2 linked regions of the Xenopus tropicalis genome follow. The protein of the gene in region 1 purifies or fractionates together with the protein of each later gene. This does not show direct contact. Links are inferred from orthologs where the notes say so. Each region holds a gene or a part of one and is shown on either strand. Other genes may lie near its edges.

Region 1 (3,763 bases):
AGGCTGGGCCTCCAACCTTCATATCATTTGTTCATTACTTGAACGTTCTATGTTGCCTTGACGCTTAGATTCCAATGCAATGTCATCATGTTGGTCATAATGTAGGGGCAAATATTAAAAGTTGTCTTTGAAAAAAGTCTTTTACGGCCACCAAACATCAGCTAGAACTTCATACATTTTTGACAGGGCTGAATGACTGGAAGGACTGATCCGTTGAATAACACATTTTAAGTGGTTCTGACTTGGTACTGGTAGCTAAAATAGTGGCTCACCACCGAGGCTTCCATTCTACATAATGGGAAACGTCTCAGTGGCCAATGATATTGCCCACAGGTAAGTTATTCCAGGTTTATCATGAAATGGAATGCAAAGACCTCAGCAGAGACTTGGCTTTAACCACCAATGGTTGTCCTTAATGACTTCTGCAAGTTCTCTAGAACTAAAGGAATAAGTCTTTGCTCAGTTGGAAAGGAAGTCTATGGCGGCTCGCACAGTCTTTTTGCTTTTGACATCCATGGCCGTTACTTTGATTTCCGTGTCCCCAAACTGCATGCTGGCTTTAATCTCCCGGCGCCCCGTCTTCCCATTCTCCTCGTTTATATCAGGCAAGTCCAGGTTAATGGTGCCGCACTTCCTGACGCCAGGGTCGGTGATGTACACCACCTCATCCGTAGAGGAGCAGTAGATATTGATGATTATTTTGCGCTGCCCATTCCTGGCCGGGCAGTAGCTCCGCTGGACTATGTCGCCTAGAGCCACCGACTGATCCACGGACACAAACTTATCAAAGATATCCGTGCACCAATTCTTCCCTTCTTTCACAAGGAGTTTATCCGCTGGATGTTTTCCTTCTACGAACTTGTTGAGGACCCCAACGCCATAGGTGAGAGGAGAACGCCTTACTCTGACAATGGTAGGATCGAGGCCAAAGAGGACGGCTCCTTTGAGTATGGTAAGGCCAACGTCTTGAGGAATGATAACCCGACAGATATCGCTGAAAGCTGATTGGACAGCGCTCTGCAACATCGGAGACTCTGCAAAACCACCAACCAGGAAGAGGTACTTGATGCCTTCCACCTCTGGCTTCTTCATGAGGTCATCTACGGGAAAGGTGACAATGTTATAGACTGGTCTCTGCACAAAGATGGACTTTTCTATGGTTCAATTAGCTTTAGCTGTTACCCCAAACTATCCATTTATGGAACAGGATCTCAGTTCAGGGCTGGAATGTTGGTGAGTCCTACAATATTCTTGTATCCAGTACAGGACTGGGATCCATTATTCATGCAAGGAGTAAGCAATCTATACCCAAGGCTGGCACAGTAGGGGGAGAATATGTTCAGCATAAAAACTCTGTCAGACATTGAGTTAATATTTACAGAAATCTCTCCGAGTACTAAAACATTTCAGCCCAATAAACATCGCACAACGAAGGAAAGTTAGAAAAAACACAGACCGGCCACAAAAATATTTCAAATCCAGTACAATACTGATAATAATTCTGGAAGATAAAAAGCTTGGCCCTTTAAGATCTGCCTAAAGGTGGCCATACACCTCGCCAAGCGAGCGGACCTACGTGTGGGCGATATCGGGCAAATGTAGGCTAACGGGAGCAATGGGGTAGTCGGTTCAGGGATAGCATCAACGAGCCGATGTGGTCCCCGATCTGACAATCTTTTAACCTGCCCGATCAATATCTGATGAATTACTACTCCTGGATGTTTAACATGAGGCCCTGTCCCATTAACTGTGCCTAAATGTGTAAGTACTATAACCTATCTCAGCTACTGACTATTTGAGCAAAACATTCTATACTAATATAGTATGAGTCCTGTCCTAGTCAGGCCACTATCAGCAGTTTATACTATTCATCAGAGTTCGAAGTAATACTGTGAGTGCATTAAAGGGTAAGTAAATGGGGATGATATGGTACCTATGTGCTGGACGATCTGACGGATGGTTGGCTGGAACAGTTCGTTCATGGCCTCGGAAGACATCCGTAGCATGCCCTGGGATGACCATTTCACAAAGTTGACACTGAAGCAAAATATAAAGGAGGTGTTAGAGTTCCTGAGTCAGAGGTCATATAAATGACTGCCAGTTTTAACCACGTTTTAACCTGATGTACAGACTCAAGCGCTCTCCTGTGGCCAGATTATTAACGATAAGAACAAAGCATCTCAGACATGGCAGGACCAATCTATACAATCTGACAAGGCATCGGAGTCAAACCTACAGCTGAAGGACTGAGGCTGAACCAGTAGTTGGCAGTAGAAACTGCCTGTTGCTACATATAAACACTGATGGAGTTGGTAGCCTTTTTGGATCAGTTTGACTGGGGTTGTTGAAGCACTAATGAGCCAAATGGAAAATTAAGTCAGTCATTTATGGGACACCATGGAATCTGATTGTTGACCGGTAGGTCGGCCTGACTAGGCCCCACTACATGGCTGGCCAGACCCACTAGTCTTCCTAACAGAACCATAGATCTGCATGATAGTTAGAAAGAGGGATTCTCTACCTTTTTCTCTGGATCTATCCCTTGCTCCAGACTTGGACTGGTCCACAGGAATAATGAGGAAAATCCCAGTGGCCCCCAAAGAGGTAATCTCTACCTTTTTCTCTGGATCTATCCCTTGCTCCAGACTTGGACTGGTCCTATGGAATAATGAGGAAAATCCCAGTGGTCCCCATTCCTTGTCCAGACTTGGACTGGTCCACAGGAATTATGAGGAAATCTCAGTGGTCCCCATTCCTAGTCCAGACTTGGACTGGTCCACAGGAATAATGAGGAAAATCCCAGTGGTCTCCATTCCTAGTCCAGACTTGGACTGGTCCACAGGAATAATGAGGAAATTTCGGTGGTCCCCATTGCTAGTCCAGACTTGGACTGGTCCACAGGAATAATAAGGAAAATCCCAGTGGTCCCCATTCCTAGTCGTCCCCACTAACCTGGGCTACACCACCTTATACTGTTTTGGAATGCTGTAGCTGTCACCAATTCATCTATGACCCTTACTAATTCTGTATGTGCAGAATATTGTTGCAGAGAAGGTTCCATTACAAGTCCCCCCCCCCTCCCAGCCTTATTAGCAGGAACCCTGGTGCAGTAATTACAACAATACACGTTACAACTTCTCTCCTGTACAGTCAATAGTAAATGCCATTATTTAAGGCTACAGACGATACAGGCCGTGGTTTCCAGAGAGATTTCCCTGGTGGATTGGAATTCACTCTGAGGCTTTCAGAACGTGCGAGAGTTTGAGGAGACTGAGAATTAATTACACATCGAACGCTCGGATCAATAGGAACATTGATTCCCCTTTTAACAGGAAGCTTCTCGGTTGGTGGCCTCCTAGGGAATAACTGAGGGACGTACAATGGAAATGTACAGTTTTATAGTGATTGAAATTAATCCCTAATGGGGCCCCATGGAGTAGATATAGGTAGAACCTTTAGGCAGGTAACCAGCCCTCTTCCCTCATGTCCATATGGATACATTAGATGGATAATTTGATGGTGATGTTGGTAGTGATGAAATTGGGGTAACTGAGAAGTGACAGCCAATAAAAAGCAGAGGGTTTATTCGATGTGCAGCCAACGAGGTCAGCTCCACCTAACCAAGCATTGTGTCCCACCTTGGGACTAGTTCTGTATTGAGCCTGTGGATGGAAGCCTAGAGTGGACATTATGGCACACCGAGCATGTTAATACAAGCCAGGTTCTAGGTTACCTGCTCTTTCTCAGGGCAGTCTCCACATTC
Region 2 (3,663 bases), on another chromosome or scaffold:
TTTCTTCGTTAAGTAAGTTGTCGACCTCATTAAAAATAGGCCAACCTTTAAAGAGAAAGAAGGGAAAAAGACAAATGTAGTCAATATATATATATGTATAAACTTATACAATACTGTCACCGCACTCATCCATAGCGCGAACCCCGGTGCTCTGCAACTTCAGGACGCCGTCACGTCCCTCAACTATACAAAACTTGAAAGAGATGCAGCACACGGGTTATTTGCAAAAAAGTGTATTAAAAAGAATCACATCACATATGCGACGTTTCGGACAAAACACATGCCCTTTATCAAGCCTGTAATAATGCGATCCATCCAGTGAATCACATTTAAAGGGATATACAGGAAATGACATCATAGATTGAGCGTTACCATAGCGATTCATTTCAAGTCATAGTAAACTTTTTACATATGCAGAATATTGTCAATCAAGTAGCAGAATCTTATATAGAAAAATTGTGCAATTACATACAAATATTTACAAGAAGAGAAACAAATCATAATCCTTGTTCAATCCAATAGGAAAAAGTGATTGTAGTTTATTAATCCACTACACTTCCCTTTGTTTCAGCCTAAGTTCCCTATCACCTCCTCTTTTTAGAGGCGGTATAGATTCCAATACCATGAACCTGAGCTGTTCTGCAGTGTGGCCCTTTTCACAAAAATGCTTAGACACCGGTAATGCAGTATTCCCCAGATTAATAGCTGATCGATGTTGTGATATACGGGATTTTACCATCTGTGTGGTCTCACCCACATAGATGAGACCACACGGACAGATCAACACATAAAATGCATATTTTGTGACACATGTAAAGTGCCCCCGTAATTGTATCTTTTGACCTGTTTTTGGATGCACAAAATAGCTTCCTTTCGAAACATATGCACACTGCGTACAATTTAGGCATGGATACATGCCCTTAGTTTTTGCTCCTAAAAAAGTATAACTTTGTTTATTTTCCATTCTAAGTGCCGTGGAGGTAACCGAAGCACCAATAGTTCTCCCCCTACGATATGATATCATAGGGGGTGCCTCAAATTCTTGTATCAACGGATATGCCTTTTTAAGAATATACCAATGTTTACGTAAAGTTTGAGCAACTGTTTCACTGCAATCTGAATATTGTGTAACAAAAGGTATTCGCCCACCTCCCTGTTTTCTCCTTCCAGTAGAATGTTGTACTCTATATTGTGCCTTATTAATCACTTTCTCAGGATATCCCCTATCTCGGAATTTCTGGCACATCCTATTCTCCTGTATTTCTCGTTCTCCTGTCTCACTTACCAATCTCTAAACTCTAGAGCAGTGCTGTCCAACTGGCGGCCCGAACATTGTTTGGCTTGGTGGAGATACATCGATGATGTGTTTGTACTGTGGTGGGGTGACATTGGCTCCCTGAAACTGTTCCACAATAAATTGAATGATATACATCCTTCTATCACTTTGACACTTACTCATGATCTCCAACAAATTCACTTTTTGGATGTACGAATCTATAGAAATATTGAAGGCAGTTTATGTACTTCTCTTTTCACTAAGCCAACAGATCGAAACTAGATTTTACATTTCAAAAGTCAACATCCACCACATACGAAAAGCTCAATTCCAGTGAGTCAACTCTCTAGAGTTAAGAGATTGGTAAGTGAGACAGGAGAACGAGAAATACAGGAGAATAGGATGTGCCAGAAATTCCGAGATAGGGGATATCCTGAGAAACAGGTTTTGCACGTGCACTTTCTGTATATATGTCGATGTATGGTTGAAAAAGTACTTTATGTTGCACATTAACCTCTCGCTGTAAATGTTTACTGCATGGAATTTTATATGAATTTTTATATGATATTATGCATACCTGTAATTTTTGGATTAACAATCTTCACTAAGTCACTTTATTATGTTAATGCTGCTTAACACTTTATTAGGCTGATGTTGCCCAGCACTGAACACTTTACAGCACTTTTCAGCACTTTCACTTGCTTTATGGCTTCAGCCACTTTATGGCAGCACACTGTGATGTCACTTCCTATTGATTTACTGGTTTTTGGTGATTTAAAGATGTGTGTTACAAGGCATGGATGCCCTGAGAAAGGTCCCAATGGGGACCGAAACGTTACGTCGGCTGTTTATGCTACTTTGAATACATGTTTTGATTTTTCACAAGAAATCCCGGAGTTGCTGGTCTTTTTTATACTATTGGAACCCTTTACCGAGCACCCGAGGTATGTTATGTAGCGGTGTGCCATCCTTTGTGTATATATATATATATATATATATATATATATATATATATATATATATACAGGTATGGCATCTGTTATCCGGAAAAGCATTATCCAGAGTTCCAAATTAGGGGAAGGCATCTCCCATATACCCCATTTTAATCATATAATTCAAATTTTTAAAGATTACTTTTTTCTCTGTAATAATTAAACAGTAGCTTATACTTGATCCCAACTAAGATATAATTAATCCTTATTGGAAGAAAAACAACCCTATTGGGTTTATTTAACTTATAAATAATTTTTTAGTGGGATTAAAGTATGGTGCACATTTATGGAAAGACCGCTTATCCAGAAAACCCCAGGTCCCAAGCATTCTGGATAACAGGTCCCATACCTATACTTCATTCCAGTATTTATCTGCAGAGCTGACCTGTGGATTGAAATGCTAGCAAAGAGCTCTGCATTTTCCTCATAAGATTACCCCTTTACAAACTGCAGATATCCAAAAAGTAGGAAAAAAAGCTTCAGCAGATTTACTGCAAAACATTTATTGTGGGTAGTGGTAACACAACATGTTTCGGGTCAATACCCTTTATCAAGTGTACTGTCAAAAATACATACTTTATCAAGTATGTATTTTTGAACATACTGCAGATACGGCTGCCGACACTCAAGTTACAGTGTGTATTTGATTCTATGTTTTGGGGTTCCTCATTTTTGGGTGTGGGATCAAGCTGCAAAAACTGTTTTTTTTTTGCAGAAATCTACCAACAAGAAAAAAGTTAATCTTCAGTGATCTAAATAACTACAAAATGGAATAAATCTGTTTCTTGCCTCTACCCCATTAATAATGAAAATTCCAGCAATGGAAAATACCAGCTCAGTACCTGATCTGGGGCACTGGAAAAACTCCATTAACATATTTTAATCAGCTTGCTTTGTATTAACCTGCAGAGGTGGCTTCTGTACTTACCATGCGAATCGAATCGATGGCCGTGGGGGGTGACTGGGGAAGGTGAGCTAGGTAAGGAATCGAACGCCATGTCACTCATGTCATCTCCAGAGTTTTCAGAGAGACGTGAGAGAAGAGGTGGGCGGCTGCCAGACATGGTTCTGACCCGATTGCTGCCACACTTTTCCTCAATGCCACGAACAACAGTCTGGGCTGTTTGCTGGGTAAAAACAATGCCTTTCATATGAGTGATAATGCACACTAAATTAAAGCAGAATTAATTACAAACATTCATATTAAGAAAAATTAAATACTGGCATTGACATATTTATCGAGTGTTAAGAGGGGGTCTACTAAACGTTTATTATATATTTGCAAGGCCTGAGTGGATCCCTAGAACACCAGAAAATTTTTTTATTTTATTTTTAATAAAGGCACCCAAGAATACGAGCCTATGGAGGCAGCTTTATGAGGGTGGCCTTTGGGTG

Evidence for each region. Proteins that work in one complex are often made in the same cells at the same time.
Region 2: the proteins of hspa12b (region 1) and eef2k purify together in Homo sapiens (affinity purification with mass spectrometry; 3 studies listed by BioGRID and IntAct, with this or other methods). This does not show direct contact. The link is inferred for Xenopus tropicalis from reciprocal best matches to the Homo sapiens genes HSPA12B and EEF2K.

Annotation. Positions count from the first base shown.
Region 1 is NC_030677.2:15,717,487-15,721,249, forward strand, and holds the end of hspa12b (heat shock 70 kDa protein 12B), read right to left. Parts: coding exon 3,734-3,763; intron 2,038-3,733; coding exon 1,934-2,037; intron 1,101-1,933; coding exon 460-1,100; 3' UTR 62-459; downstream 1-61.
Region 2 is NC_030685.2:25,027,339-25,031,001, reverse strand, and holds part of eef2k (eukaryotic elongation factor 2 kinase), read right to left. Parts: intron 3,396-3,663; coding exon 3,197-3,395; intron 46-3,196; coding exon 1-45. UniProt on the Homo sapiens protein: Threonine kinase that regulates protein synthesis by controlling the rate of peptide chain elongation.